3 separate regions of the Mus musculus genome follow, and all the other regions are reported to be linked to region 3. The links are microRNA targets in miRTarBase. Many come from high-throughput screens and were not tested one by one. Region 3 holds a microRNA gene; each other region holds the end of a gene's coding sequence.
What was found. The annotated mature microRNA mmu-miR-1968-5p reads UGCAGCUGUUAAGGAUGGUGGACU and lies in region 3 at 4,328-4,351, shown strand. An mRNA with a match to its seed (bases 2 to 7 or 8) in the 3' UTR can be bound and repressed. Matches are read on the target gene's strand: a 7mer-m8 pairs with bases 2 to 8, a 7mer-A1 pairs with bases 2 to 7 and ends in A, and an 8mer does both.

Region 1: miRTarBase lists Cdc42bpa as a target of mmu-miR-1968-5p. Seed matches in the 3' UTR shown: 7mer-m8 at 4,117-4,123 and 7mer-m8 at 5,446-5,452.
Region 2: the mRNA of Itgav is a reported target of mmu-miR-1968-5p. Seed matches in the 3' UTR shown: 7mer-m8 at 5,383-5,389.

Annotation. Positions count from the first base shown.
Region 1 is chr1:180,159,329-180,167,063 of GRCm38, forward strand. Cdc42bpa (CDC42 binding protein kinase alpha) reads left to right here. Exons shown (of 37, transcript NM_001359541.1): 35 at 278-395; 36 at 2,212-2,369; 37 at 2,707-6,275. The coding sequence ends at 2,838. Coq8a (coenzyme Q8A) reads right to left here. Exons shown (of 15, transcript NM_023341.3): 15 at 5,910-7,735. Among named protein-coding and RNA genes, the nearest start is that of Gm38331, 15 kb to the left of the region's middle.
Region 2 is chr2:83,801,804-83,809,538 of GRCm38, reverse strand. Itgav (integrin alpha V) reads right to left here. Exons shown (of 30, transcript NM_008402.3): 27 at 7,656-7,735; 28 at 7,454-7,561; 29 at 6,537-6,659; 30 at 2,622-6,299. The coding sequence ends at 6,204. Among named protein-coding and RNA genes, the nearest start is that of Fam171b, 6.9 kb to the left of the region's middle.
Region 3 is chr8:13,185,684-13,193,418 of GRCm38, reverse strand. Mir1968 (microRNA 1968) reads left to right here and starts at 4,321; the gene lies at 4,321-4,388. Grtp1 (GH regulated TBC protein 1) reads left to right here. Exons shown (of 8, transcript NM_025768.2): 3 at 1,211-1,369; 4 at 3,672-3,796; 5 at 6,440-6,536.

The DNA.
Region 1 (7,735 bases), not on the chromosome of region 3:
CGCAGTTTCGTTATCTGCAAATGTCCATGTAATTCTGCAGCCCACTTACAGCTAACCATGTAACGTTGCAAACCAAAAGCTGCCTATTGGTAAGTACTCCTTGGCAGGGATGACATTCATTTCCTCTCAGGGCTTCAGAGCCCTGCTGGTGAGAAAGACTGGGACTCGATTGCTCCCTGCCCTCTATCATTCTGTTCAAGATGCCTAGAGAACCAGAGTAAAAGGCAAATGTCCACACAAAACTGGCTGAAGAGTATTCCTCTCCTTTGTGTTTTAGAACCCACGGCCTCAGGAAAGCCGGACAGTATTCAGTGGCTCCGTCAGTATTCCCTCCATCACCAAGTCCCGCCCTGAGCCAGGCCGCTCCATGAGTGCCAGCAGCGGCCTGTCTGCACGTAAGTGGCCGGGCGGGGAGGGGAGAGGAGCTGAGGAGGTGAGACCACAAAGAAAAGGTATCCCTTGCCCAGGAGCAACTTCCTGGTAGAGATGATGGGGACCTGTGTCTACCAGAAGGGACTGTACAGTGATGCCCGCAGCAGCATGCCCGAGTGTGTGGGAACATGTGCACAGAGTTAGTTCATCGTGGCTGGGATAGTTCCTGCATGTAAGATGGTAGTTACAGATTGCCATCAACTTTGAGTGTCCAGCAGACACTGTACACTTGACACCAGAGACCTCAGCAAAGCCTTCTTTATTCCCAAACCACTGATGGCCGAGCAGCTAAATACACTACATCCATTTTCCTATTTCAAAGTCCTTCAGTCAGAAGACATACTCGTTATCCTCATTCTTGGACTTCCCTGGTACTTTTGTTTATTCAGTAAATACTGGTTTCTATACGTGCCTTGTTTCCATATATTGTGAGGTTCAGTTATGCTATATTCATCACTACTGACAACATAACAACTTACCCCACAACTTAGAACCATAAAATAGCAAGCAAACAAGCTGGGCATGCCAGCACAGGGCTGACGCAAGAGAAGAGCAAGTGTCCAGGCTGAGCCATGTCACAGAACTCTGACAAGAAAGGTTGGAGGAGGCAGGGAAGAGACGAGGGGGCGAGAAGGAGCCACACACCACAGCATGTGTTTATTTACCTCATGAGCTTTCTGAGAGTCAGAATGGTTTGGGCTTTTTCATAACACTGTTGACATCTTTATTTGCCAATCAGAAATAACTTGGGGGCAGGGTCACTTAGCATCTAAGTGCAGACTCTCTCATCTCTGGGGCAACCAGTCTTGGGAACCCAATTTTAGTTTTAGAATACAAACAGCATCAGGCTAACCTACTACAACCATTTGGCAAGGACCTAGGTACTATATTTCTAGAACACCAGTTTACAAGCAGTAGTGGTAGTGTCTGGAAGGAGTCAGGGATGGTGAGGCTGTGAGGGCTTAGGGAGGGAAGGGCCTCGGGGGCATTGAGAACAGTCTGCCGGGTGTGCTTCTGCAGTGCCTTCTGAGCACTGACACAGTTGGTGGTCAGTAGCTGGACATACAATTGTATGGTGACAGTTTTGTTGGATTCTTAATGTAAAAGGCAGTTAACAAAATCAGTAATACATTGAAACAGTCTATAACTCAGTGTCCTTCACCAGTCATGAAACTTAATAAAATTAAAACTTTTCTTAAGCAAAGACTAAAGCATAATGAGAAACGTGGAACACTTTTAAATGGGCACTAACAGTACTTGTCATGTTTCCAAGGGTTCTTCTCTTGTTGTCAGTGCCACTGGTCCCCTTGCTATATGTCCCAGCTCTTAGGTCAGCATTTGAGGGTGCCCTCAAAGTAACCCCCAAAGTGTTCCTCTCAAGCTATGAAATAAGAGTGCTTTCTTGTGTTCTGTTTTCTATGAGAGTTTCTGAAAGGCAGCATTTGCCTGGGGATGGCTGTGTGCTTCTGAGAGTGCAGCCCATGTCTTAGGAGCCTCTGTGAGGTCTGGGTAGGCAGATGCCCCATCTGTTAGAAGAAAGCCCAACATGTCTGTGGTATGACGATGCTGAGGGCACCCTGGCAATGGCAGATGGCACTGGAAGGATTCCATGGGCACCACAGGGCCTGGGGACTGCTGTCTAAACACCAGTAGTCCCATAGCCAGAGGACAACAGAAACAACCTTCCGCATGGGACTTCTGTCTTCTTGGAAGCCTGTACACTTTATAGAGGTGTGGCCTCTTCTGAATACATAGTTCTTCCCAACCATTGTCCTGTAGGGTCGTCAGCCCAGAATGGCAGTGCACTAAAGAGGGAATTCTCTGGAGGAAGCTATAACACAAAGCGACAGCCCATGCCCTCTCCCTCGGAGGGCTCTTTGTCATCAGGAGGCATGGACCAAGGAAGTGACGCCCCTGCGAGGGACTATGATGGAGAGGTGAATGGGCCATGGATGGTGGCTGCACCTGCCATGCATGCTTAAGGCCAATGTTTCGTCCAGGCTGATCTACTCCCTGCCCCTTTGCATGTGCCTCTGAAGGGAGGGCAAGGCCTGTCACGGGTGTGTAAACTGTGGCTTTCCAGAAGCTTCAGGCTTCTAATCACCTTTCAATGAAGGGTTCAGCAGTTTTCATGTGTGTGCATCCTCCAGTCATCTCATGGAGGAGCTGTCTGCTGACACGCATGGGTGGTTGGGTTGTGGGTACTGGAGAGGCCTGGGGCAGTGATTGTTCTCTGTTCCTTTGCTTCTCACCAACGCTTTGTTTGTTTTGCAGGACTCTGATTCTCCAAGGCATTCCACAGCTTCCAACAGCTCTAACCTGAGCAGCCCCCCAAGTCCCATTTCACCCCAAAAGACCAAGAGCCTCTCCCTGGAGAGCACAGACCGCGGGAGCTGGGATCCATGAGCCCAGGACCGGTGACTGCAGGCAGGGACTCTGCACTCCCACTCCGACAACGTGCCTGGCAGCAGCCTTGCCTTCCGCACTGCTGCAATGGGGATTCCTCCGCAGCCAGGCCCGCTTCACCCTCCCCTCAACCCCCAGGTAGCTTCTGTAGACAGACTGCGCAGACGCAGCGCTAAGAGTAGACCGGTTGTGTTCTCACCGTAGCCCTCACGTAGCGCCCAGCAGCCTCCATGAGCGTCAGCCAACTGTTGCCAGGAAGTAAACCCTCACGAATTAAAACAATGCATATTTTACTACAATACAGAGTTTAAATAAATACATAGATGTAGAAGTTAAATACTGAATGTAAATAGTCAAAGAAGCATCTTGTGTTTGATGAAAGATGGATGCGTATATAAGAAAGATCATTTAATTTAAAGAAATGTGTTGTTTCTTGTCTGTTTCCCAGCTATGTCATATACAGGGTAGAAAGGCCTCAAGTGACACTGTAAAGAGATCAGAAGTCAGGTCCCCATGGTGTCTCTTCTCAAGCCTAGGCAGGCTGAGGTCACAGGGAAATCTAAGGAATGTTTGGAGATTAGTGCCATTGGTGGGATGTGACCTGAACACCACCGGGGGTGGTGAAGCCACTCCAGAGGCTCACTTGCTCTGAGGCATCTTGCCTCTGGTTCTCAGACCATGTCCCCCACTTACAATATTTTGGTATCTCGCACAGATGAATGTGAAACAATTCTGCCACCTTCCAGCCCTTCCCATCCTAACGGGGAATTCGTGGCTTCTGAAGATTATGGGATGGTCACGCAGCTACTTTTCTGTCCCTGCCAAACCTTGCCCCCTCTAGGTTGCAATGAGGAGTCTCTGGATTAAGCACAACTTCCCTGTTGGTTAAGGGTAGTTTTAAACACACTGCTGGGGACAGGTCTCCTTACTAAATCACAGAAAACCTCAGAAGCATAGGCTTGAATGGCCTTGACCAAATATGCCTTCCCACGTGAGGGGACGGTGGGGCTTGTGGTGTGCTGGCCACCGTGGACTGTGAGCCAGCTTCCCCTCTGGATATCTACTGCTGCACTTGTCCCAGGAAGCATGAGGAGACCACAGAGTCCTCTACTCAGACGTCCTCCAGCTACGCACACAGGAGGGGACAGGTGGAAACTAGTGCTCATGACGTAAAGAGGCCCTGCCTCTCTTAATCCTCTCCTCTTCCGGGATGGAAAAGCCACCATTTCTCCCCACTTTAAGCCACATCTGAAATAGATCTCCAAGCTGACCTTTACACAGCTGCCAGGCCCTGCAGGTCAGACTCCCCAGGCATGCAGCTTTATGGGGGTGTTAAGAGAGTTGAGGGTGGGCTGGGGTCTTTGTAAGCAGCAGCTTTGACAGACACTCTGGAGTCTGGAGTGAGCAAGGGTTTTTTGGGGTGGGCACTGTGTCACTCTATATTTATCCTTTTGGAAACAGATCATATAAAAATAACTTGTGTACACCCAAAAACAAGGGTCAGATCTTTAGTTTGGCCAGATCCCTATACATCTGCTTCAACTTGACACTTTGCTTGAAAGAGCTGCCTCCCCTTCCCTCCGTCCTTTCCCTCTTCTTTCTCCTTCCCCCAGCAGAAACCTGACCAGGCTGAGACACGCTGAACTCTACCCTGAGCCTTTGGTTTGTAGCTTTGACAACCAATTGTGAAGTTGCCTACAGGTGCTTGTTTTTAAAAGAACCCTTTTAGAATCAGTCTAAACCTCTACATCCCCTAAAGTCCGGCTCCACACAGTGACTTCCACCCCAGCTCTGCCCCAAGGAGCCCTGTGGATTTGGTGGATTTCCCACTGCTGTCAAAGAACTAGCCATCCCAACAGCAGCCCTGCTGGCCCAGAGTAGAGGGTGGGGTTCCAAAAATGACTCTCTTACCAGATTCATCCAGCCTTCTGTGAAGAGTATTCCTGTCAGAAACTGGGAAAGGATGGAGAAAGATGACTAGTCGGTTTCCAGGAGACAGAAACAAAGATTCCTCAGAGCAGTCAATAACAAAGATTAGAGACAAGGCCTTAGGTTTAAGCCTTTCTTGAGATCGCTCCCCCTACCCCATGGAAGGTATTTGAAAGTGTGTGGCACCGGGAATTTATCCAGAAATGGAAAAAAAAATACATTAAGAGACATTTCTGATATAGTGTCTATGGGTTAGTACTTGGTGCTATGTCCAGCCTGTATGCTATTTACCCTTTGAATTCTGGCTAATCTGTTATGTGAGTTTTGGGTGGGTATACAAAATATATTACAGGGTTTCGTTTTGGTTTTGCCAAAAACAAACGCCTTCCTATCAGAGATTGTTAAGCAGATCATATATATATATATATATGATTTTTTAAATTTGTGTACATACTCCCTGTGCTTAGCCATTTGTGTTCTTTCCCAGTGAGCAGCTTTAAGACAGGGGAATAACTGCAAATGGCCTGTTAGGCTTTCCACTGAATTCCTATAGCTAGGCTTAGAGAAAGCATCTGGAATTCCCGTCATTCCCACCAGCCCTTCTTCAGCTACTCCTCTTTCATGTTAAAATCCTGTCATTTTGTTAATTTAGTGGCCGCGTTTATTTCCAGGCAAGTTCAGCTGCCTTGTGTGGGTCCTTGGGTGTCATTAAAGAGAAGCCAGAGCAGAGGGGCAGCCTCCGTTCCCAGGGCAGCCACCACAAATTTAATTCTCCCAGCTCAGCACATCTAGCTGCCGCCCACCCAGCCCACCCCCAATACAGGTGCACTTAAAATGGCTGACACCCTGCTGTAGGTCCTACTCTGCCATAGCCCAAGGCCACTGTCCCCTTCCAGTTCCACCTGGCCCCACTGCACAGCATTTCCCTGTACCCTTGGAGTGGCTCCTACCTTGTTGGAACCTTCAGTCTTCACAAACCCAGTTCCTTGCAGAGCCCTGCTACAGTGAGTGTGTCTCCTGCTAGCGCCAGCACCACACTCTCCTGTCCCAGGGACAGCATCACACAGAGCCCTACTTCAGTTTTAGGAGACTGACTGTCATCAGTCAGCCTTGATGCCATTGAAAACAAAATGACCTTATTTGATAGAATAACAGCATTTATTTTATAAATTTTTAGGATTTTTTTCTCATTGTAATATTATTGTACAGTTTTGCATGGCCTCAGTGTAATCATTTTTGTTCAGAAAATTATGACCTGTGTGTGTGTGTGTGGAAGGGAAGATACTGCTTTGGCCTCTTAGCACTCATTTGGTTTGGTTTTGTCCCTAGATGTCCTAGGGAATTTCCTGACAGTATCTGCTACCAAACTATAACATGGATTCTTTTGCACAGAACTATTTAAGGTGGGGTGGTCAAAAATGTAACAAAGGATTTCTCACCAATATTTTATGTTGGTATCACCTAATTAACCAGACTTTGATGTTCTGCAATAAAATAAGGAACTGTCAGCATTGAGTATTCTATTTCTTCCCGTGTGGAGAGTGTGAGGCATTCTTGGCTCGCTGATCTCCCTCTGGACCTCTTCTCTATCCCAGAGGACACAGGTCGGTTTGATCGGGTCCTGGAGCTCAGGTAAGAATAACATTCAAATCCATGGAAGTGCTCAACTCCCTTTCTCTGATAAGAACTCCCCGGGCACTGCTTTAGGCCCCCAGGGCACACTCCACTGGCGCTTGAGACTCGGGGTTGTCTGTCTGCAGCATTAACGTAGGAGTTGGATCTGTTCTGTTAGAATGGTGCAGCTGACACACAGGCAAGGTTGGGTGACCTTATCAGAGACCCCAAACCTGCAACTGAAATCATCACCCTCTTAGCCATTGAGACTCTTTCAGATCTTTCAAGTCGCACTGGGCCTCCAAGGCAGCATCTGTGAAGACCAAGACTTGGCAAAAATTCCACAAAGAAATGGACAAGAACACCACGCAGTAAAACTTAAGCTCGGTGAGCCTAGTGTGGTGCAGGGGTGGCAGTGACCCAGGCCCCTAGCCAGGACAGACAGCATGCATGGGTTGTATGGGCACACTGTTCCTGTCCCAGATCCAGATCTCAGTGTCTGTTCTGTAGCCACTGAACCCCACAAGCTGTTTTCTCTAAATGCCTAAGAAGCTTGGTGGCTTAAACTTGTGATCCTAATTACTTGGGGTGAGGGGGAGTTAAGCAGGAGGATTACAAGTTCAAGGCTTGCCTGAGCAACTTGATGAGATCCCATCCCAAAAGTAAAAGGGCTCAGGGTACAACCAACCGGTGGTAGAGCACTCAAGTCACTCTGCAAGGCATTAGGCTTAATCTCCAGTGCCATTAAAGTCCTGAGTCAGAGACACACATACATGGAAATGCTTAATATCTGCCTATGTTGCCATGTTCTGTCCCCATCAAGAGCAAGAGACAGACAAAGACCACACATCCAGGTCATAAGTGGGGCCACCTCCTTCCCAGGATTCACGGAACGCATAGGAAATGGCAGTCCCCAACGCACTTCTTTATTGAACGCAAAGGTATGAATGTGTAATTACAAGACATACAAACAAAGAGCCTGTGTCGCTCCCCTGGGGTGGGGTGATAGCTCCCTCTCCTGGGGCATGCTGGAGCCCTGCTGCTCATCCAATGTCAGCCCTGCTTTTAAAAGGGTCTGTTGTCCATGCTGAGACTGAGCTAGGGTGGCTACCCTGCTGTCCTGAGCTTCTAGCTCCAGGCCACAGGCTGGGGTGGCAAAGGGCAGGGACATAAGCTCACCCAGAAACACACAATTCATTCCCATGGCCAACTAGACCCCAAAGGTGGCTGTGTTGAGTTTAGTACTGCATTGCTCCTGTTCCTGGTTGTACATCCACAGCAGGGAGGAGATGGCAAAAGAAGCCTGCCTTTTTGTCTGGACAGTACAGAAGCAATAGGAGGGTCTACGCAACGC
Region 2 (7,735 bases), not on the chromosome of region 3:
TGGCAGGCAATGGGACACATGGCTGGAAAGTATGTAAAAATAATTATAAAAGACACACAATCCAGGTATTTTATTTATAAGCTGTGAGCCTAGACTGGGCAGGTGTTGCGCTATTCTAACTTACATCCCAGCCATATGTCCCTTGTTACTCCTCTCCTGATCGTGTCATGGTCCATCTCCTCTCATGGTGGCAGCCTCCTCTCTCCCTGTTCTTTCTTCTTCCCCTCTCTTCTTGCAACCCCCCAGCCAGGTAACCAAAAACCCACCTACCACCCAATCACAGGCTTTAGCCTTCTACTGACCAATTAACTTGGGGGTCAAGGTTATATAGCATCACTTGGTGTACGAAAGTATCTTCTCTAAAGAAGCAACCAGATCCTGGGGGCAAGTATTTAGTATTTGAATACATAGCAGCACCAGACCAACTCCAAACAATGTAGGCTGGGAAACAGGTCAGGCCAGCACAGTTGGGTTAAGATAGATCCGAATCTTCCCAGCTTAGTGCCTGAAGCTTTCGCAACTATAGCAGGTCTTCATGTCATTGTTCAGAGCAAGGGCAGTTGTAGGAAAGCCATACTTTTACATTTGGTATCCAATGTGCTAAGCACAGAATCCAAACATGACAAATCCAAGCTTAGAGCTGGAGTAAGGTCTGACACAGGAGCCAGATCAAAAAGCCGGGCACAAAACCCACCAATTTGGGTGTGAGAAAAACGCCTCTCCCCTGTGAGCCTGAGAGCTGGGATGGAACAGAGAGCATGAGGTCTGAACTGGGCATCAAAAGCCAGGAAAGAAAGAAAGAAAGAAAGAAAGAAAGAAAGAAAGAAAGAAAGAAAGAAAGAAAGAAAGAAAGAAAGAAAACAAACAAACAAACAAACACAGCCGGGCGTGGTGGCGCAAGCCTTTAATCCCAGCACTCAGGAGGCAGAGGCAGGCGGATTTCTGAGATCGAGGCCAGCCTGGTCTACAGAGTGAGTTCCAGGACAGCCAGGGCTACACAGAGAAACCCTGTCTTGAAAAACAAAAAACAAAAAACCAAACCAAAAGAAAACAAAAAACCCACACAGAAGAAATCCAAGCACAGACAAACTTCTGATCAAATTAAATATTAAATTTTTCTGAATACATGCTGAAGAAAGAGACTAGGTATAATATATATATATGTGCAGACATAGATTGAAATTAATAAAAAAGAGAATTAAGTAAAATTAAAAAGAATAAGACACGTAAGGATGAAAATAACAATAAACAGTATTGGACCCTGTATAATACTATTTTAGATGGCTTAGAAACAAAAGATGAAAAGATGGACTTAACTGGAATCGGCTCATACATTTACAGGGAAATGGATATTATTTAAAGCAGCCCGATGAAGTAAAAATTGTAAAGTTCAGTGCTATAAGAATTGAAGATCATTGGCTTATAAATGGAGATTCTTATCTTTCTAGCAAATTTTTATTTACCCGAAGAACTTCTATTTTCTTGGTGAATTTCAGTGTACAAAGCAATGGGTTGCACAATGATGTTTCTCAAGTGTATCGAGTACTATGAATACACCCCATGCTAACCTCTCCTCACCCTCCCTTCCCGCTATTTGCCTTTTTTCCCCCCTTGAATATTCATGTCACTTTCCGTATGTGTGCTATGGTCAACAGATGAGGGAAAACATGCTGATTCTGATTTTACTCAAATTTGATAATCTCATCCATTTCCTTCAAATAATAGCATTTTTTATAAAGTCCTACTATAAATACATATTTCTCTTATCCATCCATCCATCAGTGAACTCCTAGACCGTTCCCCTAGCTTGGCTATTGTGAACAGTATTGAATAGTGTCACAATAAACATGGATGATCAACTGTATTCGGTGTGTTTAGCTTTCCAGGACTGCTAGATCTGGGGCACATTATAGTTCTATTTTCATTATCATGGGCCCTCCAGACTGATTTCCACAGGAGCTACCTTGGTTTGCATTCTCTCCATCTCCCACTAGGAGTTCCTGTTCCACACAGACCACCCAGCACTTGTTTGCTTCGTAAACAATTGCCCCTCGGACTAGGTTAAAACCAAACCTCAATGCAGTTTTGATTTACATTTCCTGGCAGCTAAAATTGAACATTTTTTTCATGTATTTAGTGGCCATTTATGTTTCATCTTTTCAGAAATGCCTGAGTCTTTTATTTGCTCATTGAAATGACTGGATGGTTTAGCGTTGTGGAGTTTAGTTTTCTGAGTTCTTTACAGCACCTAGATATTAGTGGTCTGCAGGCTGCAAAGCAGACTGAGACTTTCACCTGTTCCATAGTTAGCCTCTTTTTTCTGCTGTTTCCTTTGATGTGCAGATGCCTTTCAATTTCACATAATCTCACCGACTGATTCTTGCTATTATTTCAAGGCACTGAAACGCTAAGAATGTATCTCCTTCCGAGGAATGTGTCTTAACACCAGGCTCCCTTTGCCTTTTGTTTGTTGGTTCCCTTCCTTTAGATAACTATACCCTTAAATCTTTGCACTTGTAGGGAGCTGTGTCACCACCCTGAAGTCACTGTTTGATGCAGTATCGCTGGTTCCCGTAATTAGGAAACATGAGCTCATAGGAGAGGATAGAATCCACACAGGAAGCTGGCACCACACGTTCAAGTTTATTGTACAGTCACAAGTTACACACTGGAAACAAAGCAGAACATGGTACCTGCTTTTACTAACTCAAAACAAGTTAGCAAATGACAGATTTCAGGAGAGACTCATCTTATGTCTCACCCAATGTGGGTGATCACGAGAGAAGCCAAAAAAAATTATCTTCCAGGTTACTTAGCGAGCAAAAGAATTTGATACACACAGCTTCCAAGTTACCTTAATATACTGAAAGTGTTTTAAAACTGGTAAGGAATAGTTCATCTTCCACCTAAAATAAAATGCAGATTGGATGGTTTAGAGGTAAAAAAAACAAACAAACAAAAAAAAAAAAGCAAAGAAAAAGCAAAAAACAAAAAATTTCACCTATATATCTACAACTACAGCAGAGTTGTTCTTTTCTGCTAACAAAAAAATACTAATAAATTTCGGATTAAGATTACTAAATAGTGACTTATATTTAAGTTTCGTTACATTGTTATATTGCACTTAAGAACAATGACAACAAAATTCAAAGATTCAGTACCTCACAGGAAGTCCATGACATATCAGAAATTATAATGAATGCCAGTGTATACTGCAGATGGCATAGCCACAGGTTCATGGTTCAAATAAAAGGACCAAGTCCAAAGAAACCTTTACAAATTACTAGACATCAAGCAATTGTATTTGTCTTTTTAGATCCCATAATACATTTTGGTCATCTCCCCTTACTCATCAAATTAAATGTACAAGCTAGCCACGAGTAAGAACAAGGTGACACAGAGATAGGCAATGGCCACACACAGAGACTCTAGAACAACTTCCTTTCCTTCTCCTTGAGGCTCTCCCCAGAATTCTCTCAAATGGGGATGGATGCCACCTTGGCCTTCTGTTGCCCTACAAGAACCAGTTGCTCTACCAATATATACTTTGCCACTAAATTCCCTCCTCGGGGTTAGACTCACTACAGAAACTCACACTGTTCTCGTAAGGCGGCAACAAACTCTTGTCTGCTCTTAGTGATTTTCCTCATTATATAAATAATGTATTCATGAGGATTTACTATTAATAAGTAATATTGTAATACAGGTAGATTTAAGACAATATTTTGACTGTTTCACCTTCCGTAGTCATTCAGAACACAATCAGAATTATGATGATAATTAAACATAAGGGAGGAAAGTAACCCTCACACAGATGTTTTAAAGTACCAACTCTAAAATAAATATCTCTATAAGAAATCAGTATCCACGTTAATATTCCTCACATGTGTCAAATGTCCTCTGGATCAATCAATTTCTTTAATTAACCTATATTATGAAAATTTTATGCTTAGAAATAAATGTTAATTATTGGTAAATTACAAATATGAATCTAAAATAATCTCTTGCTATTTTGTTGACTACATGCCTATGCTGTTATGGGATAAAGAGTATCTCAACATTTTTTTCAGAGTGTTAACTCTCAAATTACAGTTCCTAAGTTTACAGAGATACAAATTTATATTTTTTAAAAGAAAATCCATGCTATTGTTGAAAACTACATCATGTTAATTTCCAATTACAAATATCTTTCAATCTCTAACAGAAAGTTATTCCTTGGCATAGAAGCCATAATAGGAATAACTGTAAAAATCAATATTGATTTTTACAAAGAATGAATTTCATTGATTTTCAGGAATGACAACTATTATGTTGACAGACAAAGAAGGTAAAAGTTTGTATAGGCCAACTTAGTGACCTGTGTGGTAGTCCTAAGTAGCTTAGAGACACTTGTCCCTAAGACCAAAATGTTTCTTAAAAGAATTTAAATGTATTGGTTTAAAAAAATAATTATTGCATATATGATTATGATCTTTCAAGCCAGAACTCATTAATTTAAAATTTTATTAAAGCTAAATATAGGGTCCTGTCTATATTCTAATTCGTACAACTCACATAAATGTGCTTCATGTTATGAAAATATATTCTCCAAATTAGCTCATCCATATGCACATGGAATTAGCCTAAGATACGGTGAGACAAACTTCAATTACTTTTAAAATGTAGAAAAATATTCAATTATTTAAGAGAAATATTTTTCATTGCTTAATGAGGACAGCATTTTAAAAAGCTATTAAAATTCTCAACTTCCAATGCATAACATGATGTAATTGCACAAAAATAGAGCTATAATTGATAGTTATCCCGGGGCCTTGAGGAACTGTGAATAAATCACCACCACTTAAGACGGTCCCGTGCTTCCTCTGCTGCCTCTATTAAAGTCCCAGAAAGGTAATTTAAATTAAAAAATGTAAGACAGAGTTAGAAGGTTTAAGGAACAAGAACTGCTTACAAAAACACCTTTGTAGCATTCTTTCTGACAGTGGAGGCAGGTTTTATAGATCACCTTGCTTAACCTGAGGTTCTACCATGCTATTGCTAGAAACCATCCCATGAGCCACCTTTGGAATGTGGGTCCCAGGCATCTCTCGTGGGGTAAGGGCGCGAGATCCAGGTTCCTATAGGTTATGAAGAAGGTCTTGAGCCATTCTCAGTTTTGGAAGTGGAAGGAAAATATGAGGACAGGAGGAAAATAAATTACTAATAATTAAACGCTCTGGTCCAATTAAAGAATGTCTTTTTGATGAGCAGTTAGAGTAGAGACCCATGGAGAGTCTCCAGGGCTTTTCCACATTGCAGGCAGCCAAACAAAGGGAATAGATGTACTTCAAAAACCCCTTCCAACTCCACGGGCTTCAGTCAGCAGCAGCAGCAGCAGCAGCAGCAGCTGAGACCACACTATTACTTAACGGGTATTTTTAATTATAAAATTTTCTGCAGGAAACGACTTAAAGGATTTGATGTAGAATTTAAATTACAAAAGTTAAAATACAATAAGACACAATGCAGACTACACATAAATAAAAACCTAACTTTCATATAAAAATACTGTACCATTGTTAATACAGGAAACTGCTGGTTTTCCTCCCAGTGTGCAGGATTGAACCCAGGGAGTTGCACACGCTTCGAAGTGAGCTATAGTCCCAGGAAAGAATTTTGATGGTATCGTGTTATTTAAAAGTTCTACTGTGTAAATGATATTAAAATCTAAGTCCATGCAATTGCAAAGTCTTCAGTAGCTTATGAAGTCAACTGTAGTGTAATGTGTACCTGTTCTAAGTGCCTGTGCAAACTTACTGATGGTCTAAATTTGAACTGCTTTACAATCCTAATTGCCCTAACGTAACGTCGAAGAGAGAAACCCCACACAGTCAATTAGGAACAGTAACTGAAGAGGTACTATGCTATGTAACGTGCTGACTCAGTGCTGTCTGTCTTATGTACACTGAACAAAGATAATCACTTGAAATTCCATCACTTAAGTCCCTAAGAACACACGTTAGTGTAGGCGAAGTAAATGTAATCTGAACTTATTCATAAAGAGAAGTCGACAAATATCCATTTCAATTTTGTGGATAAACTGAGACTGCTGGGTGCTCTCAGCAATACAGTCCTGGGATTTCACTGTTCACGAGAGATGTTGAAATCCACCACCACGGTGGTGAACTTGGAGCGGACAGAAGTGGCGCCACTTAAGAAGCACCTTAGGTTTCAGAGTTTCCTTCGCCATTCTCATGAGGCTGAAGCTGTTCTCTTTCTTGCTCTTCTTGAGGTGGTCGGACACGTTTGAAAAAGCCCATCTGCCAGTTAAAGAAAAAGCATAGTTCTAGCTCAGTAACAGATCGCTGAAAGTATGACCGACTCTATTATCACCTCGAAAATTCAAATGGCGTTTTTGTTTAGTGTCCCATCCTGAAATAAGCCCTGCTCACCAGGCAGCAACACTGTGGGTCCTTTTCTCCTTTTCTTTACTCCCTTCATCCTGTCCCTTCTTCTCTTATTCCATCCCCCTACCCCCTTCAACGCCCATTACTTACCCTGTACATTACAAATACCAACACAGCCAGTAGCAGCAGCCCTGCGAGAACTGCCAAGATGATCACCCACACAGGCACAGGCATGGGCGCCGGCTGAATGCCCCAGGTGATGTTAGTGGTGACCTGTTGCAGAAAACACACTGAGTCTTAAATAGCTCACTGGCCTAGTCAGTGAGTACTCAACTTTCTTTTAATAATAAATTTAGTGGTAGTCACACCACGTTCTTTTTCTCATACAATCATTTAGTGAGTGCACGTTAGGCATCCATAGCACATGCGTACACACACACACAAAAGCGCACACACAAGACTCTGACAATAGGTTGACATCAGATTTAAATTGAAATGACTAGTAAATTTCCCAATACAGATCATGGCAGCTGATCCTATTTTCAATACTTAGATATCTTCAAAATATGTTTACTTAGCAGTAGTTAGTTAGTAGTTAGTAGTTAGTTTCCAACCTTATAACTGTGGGGAGAAAGTAACCCCAAAATATCCCCTGACAAATTTGGTATACAGTTAAAAAAAAAAACCCTGTTACACAGCACCAAGTGCTAAAGAAAAAGGGCCAGCTCTACTAATTCTAGGACAATGAAGTACAAGAACACCAAGGGACCAGAGCCTGGGTCGGTGGGATGACTCGTCAGCTAAAGGCCCTGGTCACCACACCTCATATCCAAGGTCCAATCCTCACGTCCCAGAATCAGTTCTGAAAAGCTGTCCTCTGACCTGCACACTGTGATACGTGACCCTCCTCAGCAACAACAAATGTAATTTAAAAAAAGAAAGAGAATGCTTTCCATTCTATAATCCTCTCCAATAACTTATCTTTTCACTTGTTCTAGTTAAACTTCCACTAAAATCACTAAGGTGTTTGCACGGCAGGTATCCGTGCTCTGAAGCCGGTGACTTACTAGTGTAGAGTTGAAGAGATCCTCGATCGGCAGGTTCTTGTAAGGGAATTCTATGATATTAAAGGAAGCAGATGACTTCAGCGAATAGGAATGGTTCTGGTTCTCCTTCTGCACAGAAATAACAAGCGATGGTCTCTTAGATAGCAAGCCTTATAACTCTTTGAAAAAATGTATACACCTGCTGGTACGTCTGTCTGCTTACGTTCATGAACGTCTCGGTCCACAGCAGGGATTTCACGTACAGGATTGCGCTCTTGCCTCTATCCAGTCGACCAACCTGGC
Region 3 (7,735 bases):
TTTTTCCTGCTGTGTGTATGTACCATGTGCATACCTAGTACCCAGAGACATCAGAAAAGGGCACCAGATCCCCTGGGACTGGAGTTGTAGATGGTTGTCAGCTGCCACATGGCTGTTGTGAGTTGGACACAGGGTCCTCCGCAATTGTGAGTTGGACACAGGGTCCTCCGCAAGGGCAGCAAGTGCTGTTAATCACTGACCCATCTCTCCGACCGAAAGTAATGACTTTTTAAAATAATGTAATGTCAAAGCCAAACAGCAAAGCTTTGACTATTTACTTCGAAGAAGCAAATATTGAAGATGTTATTAAGACAGCAGCAGCCCTGGGCCAAGGAGGACCAAACCTAAGTCATCAGACATTTACCTACTTCCAACAAAATATCCCTGTTAGATAAAGTGGTGATCAGTGGGCAAAGGGAACTGAGATGGAGATACAGATGCTGAAGCCAGAGTCCCTCCAGGCTCCTGGGGTCAGACAGGTGGCTTCTCTGGCCTCCCTCAGGCTTCTGTCCCTGTTGCTGCGTGGCTGTCAGACCTGGCCTGGGTCTCCTACTTCTGTTCCTCCAGATTAGGACAAGTGTCTGGTGTCTAGGGTCCCTGAGAACTGTCTCCCTGCAATCCCCTGGCCCTTCCTCTCTGCCTGAAGTCCAGCGGGCAGCAGAGACTCCACATCTCTGCCTACTTCCTAACTGAGACATTTTTAAATTATGGCTTTGTCTCTTTTCAAATCTCGTTTTTGTCTCTTCTGGATCGGAGCATAGGATCCAGGGCCTTGTACAAGCCAAGCACATTCTATTCTGCTGGGCCACACCCAAGTTGGACAAATGGTGTTTGGTCTTGTAGTGGGTCTAACCAACATGGTGGGCAGAGTGGCCATCTAGGGCCAAGAATCAGCCTGGACAGAGTCCTTTGGTCCTCAGAGTTGAGGGTATGTATGTAGCTTTCAGGGATGGCGGTAGAGAGGATGACCGCAGTCCTAGTCTGTCCCTGCTCTGGCTAGACAGTGCAGTAGAGGAGAGCGGTTAGGATACGTACTGGTTGTGTTCCATTTCAGAAGCCTTGTGGACGCTTTCCGTTGGGGCAGCGTCAGGAAGCTTCCGTTCCTCTCTGCATTGGTTTAGGAAGACAAGTGCTCAGGTGAAGAAGGAAGAGGAGCCACCCTCCTTATCCCCTGGGCTCTGAGCTCAACCTCAGTCTCTCTGGGTTTCAGTGAAGCGCTATGTCCGGAAGGGAATCCCGCTGGAGCATCGGGCCCGTGTGTGGATGGCCGTGAGTGGAGCTCAGGCCCGGATGGACCAGAGCCCTGGATACTACCATCGACTGCTCGAGGGCGAGAGCAGCTCCAGCCTGGACGAGGCCATCAGGACAGGTGGGAGGCCTGTGCTCAGAGCCTTGTGCCGTGGGGCTTGGGTGGGGGGTTGGGGGTGAAGTAGGGTCCTTCCAGGAGCAGAGATCCGCCCTGGCTCAAGTCATAGGCAATGAAGAAGTCTGCCTTACTAAAGATGTGTCTATAGATGCTAAGTTTGGGGGGTGGGGGATCGAGATTAGAGTGCTCACAAGGAGAACAGCAGACATTTGTATAACTACTAGGTCATTAGAAAATGAGCACTCTGGAATTCTAGTCAACAATACCAGTGTCAAGACAGTGTGCTGACACACTGTGTTTTACAGTTACCTAGCAGAGAACAGTGAGGGAGGCACGAGCTTGTCCTGCCATGGGTGGGACCATCCTGCAGCCTCCACTGCCCTCCTGAGTTTTAGTTCACGTAGCCAGGGCCTGTGTGAGCTGAGGCAGTCGGGGTGTGGCACCCAGTGAGGTCCTCAGGTAGCCTTGTATGTCTTACATACGATTGACTTTAGCTGTTTGTTTGGAAAATGATTTTAAGGGTTTATTTATTTTTTTATTTATATGAGTACACTGCAGCTGTCTTCAGACACACACCAGAAGAGGGCATTGGATCCCATTACAGATGTTTGTGAGCCACCATGTGGTTGCTGGGAATTGAACTCAGGGCCTCTGGCAGAGCAGTCAGTGCTCTTAACTACTGAGCCATCTCTCCAGCACTGGAAAATAATTTTAAAGGTTCTGTTTAGTGCCTTTTTAGAAAAAAAAGTATTGTGGGAAAATATGCATATTATAATTTCCCAAACAGAAACTGTCCCTGTTAAACACTAATGTGTCGTTTCCCTGTTTGTCTCAGACTTTAGATCCTGTGGGACACATGTAAGCTCTATCACATAGCTGTTTTTAAATTATATGTTCGTTTTTGAGACATGGTTTCACTATGTAATCCTGGGGCTGGCCTCGGCTCAATCTGCCAGTCCCTACCTCCCAAGTGTAGGACTAAAGAGGTACAAGCCCTGGACCTGGCTTGTTTTACAGGTTTCATTTTATTGATTGATTATGTGCTTGTGTGTACATATAGAGGACCGAGAGTCAAGGAGAGCTTGTGGGGACCAAGGATAGCACTCAGGCCACCAAGCTTGGTGGCAAGTACCTTTGCTTTTTTCTTAGAATGGCCTCCCAGACTGGCCTGGGCTGCCATATGTAACCATAAATGACCTGTCACTACCTCCTGAGTGCTGGGATTACAGGTGGATGCCACCATGCCTGGTATTTGTGGTGCTGGAGAGGAAACCAGGGCTTTCTACATGCAGTCAGGCACTGCCACCTGAGCCAGGTCCCGGCTTCTGTTTTGAGTATCTGGATAAACCATCTTAGAGGACCACATGGTAGGCTTGCCATGACCACAGAACCAGAGACAGGGCCGCAAGCCTCATCCACACTCGGCTCCGCCTAGGCCGTAGAAAGACAATGCCAGGGTCAAGGATGGATTCACCATGTAGGGTGGACACCGCCTTGCCCTCTAGTCTGCAGTTGCATGCCACCGTGACCTTTCTGCATCATCGAATGTTTATAGTTCCAGGAGAGATGTTTTGGGTCTGGGAGGTTATGGAAGGTGAAGGGCTACAAAGGGCAGGAAGAGGCGGGGCAGGGAAGGCTTGGCACAAAACCCGGTAGTGTGAGTTTACTTAATTCTTGCTATTGGTTTATCTCTGAAGGGAATCTTGGCCCATTCTCCTTCCTATGTTCTGGGCAGTTTCTGTTTCAGTTCTCTTGGAACTTTGGTGCATGCTGTAGCCCAGGCTAGCCCTGAACTCAGCAGTCATCCCACCTTAGCCTTGAGAGTGTTAACAGTTACAGGTGTGAGCCACCAAGCCTAGTGTTTGGTTGTTTGTTGAGACCGAGTTTCATTATGTAGCCCTGGCTGGCCTGTTATGTAGACCAGGTTGGCCTTGGACTCAGAAATCTGCCTGCCTCTCTTTCTAGAGTACTGGGATTAAGGATCAGAGGGGTGTGGCCCATGCTAGGGAATTTGGAAGCTCTCTCCCATGCTAACAGGGTGTTTGGAAGTGTCCAGGGGAGAGACCAGAGCTCCATTCCCGATTCTGACAGAGCTCTGGGCTCCATCACCGCTCTCCTTCCTGGTGCAGTGTGCTGTCTCCTGTGCTGCCCAGGCTCAGGTGTGCGACACAGGTGAGGTGGTGGCTAGGCTTCTCTGGGGTGATTCGGGGGCAGCCAGGCGGTGCCATTCCAGAAATCTGACACAGAATCTAGCCACCTTGGGAGATGCAGAGAAATTTCATGGTGCTGGTGAATTTCTGTGTAGACTTGAACCGGACATTCCCTGACAACGTGATGTTTCGGAAGACAGCGGATCCTTGTCTCCAGAAGACCCTGTACAACGTGCTCCTGGCATATGGGCTACACAACCCAGACGTGGGGTACTGCCAGGTGAGCCCTCAGAGCCTGTTTAAAACCTGGCATGTTTTAGGGGGGATATTTGGCACCCCACAGGTCCTCAGCAATGACCTTTTGTAGGTACAAGCTTTATTCCAGGCGCATGAAATCTGGGTAAGGAAGCCTTCCTCACAGTAGGCTTAACTTGCAGCGTGTCCCTGCTGGAAAAGCAGACGGCACCTGTTGGATGACTTTGGTGAGGGTGGGAATTGGGAAGAGTGGGAATGACGTTGAGTGGGCACAGAGTAGGAGGAGGTCGGGGCCTGAGGCGCGCTGTGGAGGCTTCCTGTGGGTGTGGGGGAGCATGAAGGTACTGACCTCTCTCGTGTTTCTGGACGCCTGCTGTCATGGATCCCACCTGCAGATTTTGGTCTTGTTTGGATTGCCAGTTGGGGAACAGTTTCCTGACTGTGTTTCAGGGTGTGCTGGGGCCTGTGAGCTTGCAAACTGCATGGCTTAACTTATAATGATGCTGGAAATGTGAGACCCCGGTATGGGTGGATCTACTGTCAGGGCCACCTCCTCTGCAGCTGTTAAGGATGGTGGACTATTGTTAGGGCCACCACCTCTGCAGCTGTTAAGGAGGGTGCTCCCTACTTCCTGTCCAGGCCTCACCCCAGAATCTGACATTCCTGGGATTGTTGTTTCCTCCACATTTGCCCTGCTTGTTGTCTGTGTCTAGGTTCTCCCTATTTGTAGGAGCACACATCATCTAAGTGGAGGTCCCTATTCCAAAGGGAACTCATTTTAGCTAGTGACATCTGCATAGACCTGTCTCCAGATGAAGCCACACTGAGGCAGGAGACTTCTGGCTTTGGGGACACAGTCCCGCCTGTAACACGGGGAAGTCAGAGTGTTTGCAAATGGCCTGGCACTCTCTTTGGATGAAGATGGACTTCACACAGGTGAAGAACCACAGTTCCCACGCTGCCATCTTTCCAGGAGCTGTCTCCCTCATCAGCTCATGACGCGGGAGCATAGAGTGGTCCCTGGCCTTTGTCCTGTCATGGTGCTGTGGTCTGCGCACTTTCCTTCTTCCCCTTCTCTTTTTTTCAGTGCTGCGCACAGAAACCTGGGTCTTCCGCAGGATTGCGAAGTTCTCTGACAGTGAGCTTCATTCAGCTTTGTGGCCTGTGCGTGTGATCATGAGTGCGTGCGTGCATGCTTCTGTGTGCAGAGACCAGAGGCTGACATCAGGCGTCTTACCCTAGAGATAATTCCCCACCTCGTTTTAAAGACATTGGCCTCTGAGCTCACTAAACCTGCTGCTTGCTAATTTAGGGGATTTAGGCCAGCAGGGCCTGGAGTAATCAGCCTGTGTCCTCCTCTCTAGGACTGAGATCAGCACCTGTTATGGTGCTGGCTTCTGCATGCGGGCACTGAGGATCCAAAGGCAGTTGTGGGACAAATGCTTTGCTAGGGCCATGTCCCCAGCCCTTGAGCATCTAACCTGTGCACTGAGTCTCATTCTTGAGGACACTCTGGGTGGAGAACAGGGGTGGAGGCTCTGTGCCTGGCAGTGAGTATTGCCTCTCGGTACGTGTATCTTTGCGCAGACCACACGTGCGGTGCCAGTTTGGTATTATTTGAGCCTATCCTGTTGTCTGTGGAAAGCTGGGTTTCTTCCCTCCTTTCTAGAGGAATGCCCACCGGTTTTAAAAAGGATAGATGAACAAAAGGCAGGGAGGCGGAGTTGTGCAAAGCTTTATCCTCCCAGAAGTGACATTCCAAGGTCCCCATCATAAGCTCCAAGGGCCATGGCCTCTGCCTGGCTTTGTGCCAGCACTTGGCACCCTGGCACCGTCGCCCATTAGGGAGAGAATCCTCTCGGTGCTCCACTCCAGGCAGAACCATGATCCCCCACTGATTCTTATTGTTTGTCCTTTTGGGGGATTGGGGATTGAACGTGCAGAGCTCGTGCCTCCCCTTGAGCTATCTCATAGTCCTCACTTTTTTAAAATTTTGAGCCAGAGTCTCAGTAAGTTGCCCAGGCTGGCCTTGAACTCGTGGTCCTCCTACCTCAGCTTCTGAAAAAGCTGGGAGGGCTACAGGACTATGTCACTGGGCCTGGCTGATGCCTGCTGCTGTTACAGACTCGGTCACTAACAGTTTCCCCTCTGCACGGCCTCTGTGCTGGTCAGACAGCTCAGGCTGATCCCTTAGGGGTCAGACAGCACTGACTGACTGTGCCATGGGCCAGCACTAGGAGGAGAGCGCCTTCGGTGTCATATTCTGAGTGGCAGCCGGCGTTTTCCAGGCTGAATGCCCTCATCTTGGCTGGCAGAACAGTGCAGACAACTAGCTTTGGGTCTCCACTGTGCAAGGCAGAGGTAGGTCAAGAGCAGCCATTCTCAACCTGTGAGCGTGGTCAAAGACCCTTTCACGGGGGTCACATATCAGATATCCTGTATATCATATATTTGTGTTAGGATTTACAACAGTAGCAAGTTACAGTTATGAAGTAGCAACGAAATGGTTTTATGGTTGGGGGGTCAGCACAACATGAGGAAGTGCATGAAAGGGTCGCAGCATTAGGAGGGTTGAGAACTGCTGGTCTAGAGAATCACGAGTTTCCCGGAAGGGCAAGAGAACGGAGCCTGCTGTGCGCTGTTTGTTTATTTTCCATTCTGATTTCAGGGAATGAATTTCATAGCTGGGTATCTGATCCTTATCACGAAGAATGAAGAGGAGTCTTTCTGGCTTTTGGACGCTCTTGTTGGAAGGATACTACCTGGTAGGTTGAAAGTTCTCTTTGCTCACCCTGCCCTTCCCCTCCCCTGCCCCAGCCCACCCTCCCCTGCCCTGCCTCTGGTGTCTTTGAAAAGGTCTGGCTGGCCAAGTCAGGATGGAGTGAAATGGTTGGGGTGTAACTCAGGAATAGAGCACTTTCTGGCTTTTATTAGAGAAGGTCTGGGGTTTAATATAACACTGGAAAGAGAAAAAGAGAAAAAAAAGTGTAGTGAAAACTGTGGCTTTGTGGAAGCCGACATTAAGGAGAATTGGGTTTCTGTGCCCTCTGCTTAGGGTGTGGTCTTGCCTTTGGCCGTGTGTCCCATGGTCCTATCCCCATGTGCGTGGCCTTTTTGTAGTCGACCTGATCACATATGAGCCACAGAGTCCAAGTGTATTCGTGGGCTTGTTAGAACTCAGCACGTTATTGTCAAGGGTTGCTGCTTTCTAAGTGGGAAGTCTTTTTCACACCTACGTGTCTTCTGTATTCATTAATAGAGACTAGTCACCAGTGGTAGTAAAGCCAGTGTAGACCCTAGGCTACAGTGAGGGTCCCTGGGAAGTGCCAGTGCTATCCTGAGGGAGGTGACCTGGGGCAGAGGATTTCCTGTCTGACCAGTCCCATGCGTGGCCCCTCAGAAGGGTTTTGAGAACATGCATGGGGGTGTGGCCTCTAGCCTAGGCTGTTTTCCTGGTTCCTGCTAAACTTCAAACATAGCCACACTTCAACCTAAGTTATATGTTCATATTGGTCAAGCCCATTTCCCAGATAAGGAGACTGGAGGTCTAGGGAATGGGTCAGCTCAAGGCAGATGTCCTGCTGTCTTTGGGTTCTGCACCTTGACAGGACTCTAAAGTACCTTGCTGAGGCCTGTGGTAGGGAGATGCTGGTGGACTGGGACCCACCAGACAGAAGCAAGCTCACCTTGCTGCTGCTGTTAGTCTGTGAGGTACAGAGGCAGGGATGTGCGCTGGCTGGTTTTATGTCAGTTTGACACAAGCTAGAGTCATTTTGGGTAGAGGGAACCTCAACTGAGAAAAATACCCTGTGGGCAAACGTGGTGTTTTCTTGATTGAAGGCACCATCGTGAGTGGTACCACCCCTGGGCTGGTGGTCCTGGGTTCTATAAGAAAGCAGGCTGAGCAAGCCATGAGGAACAAGCCAGTAAGTTGCACCCCTCCATGGCCTCTGCATCAGCTCCT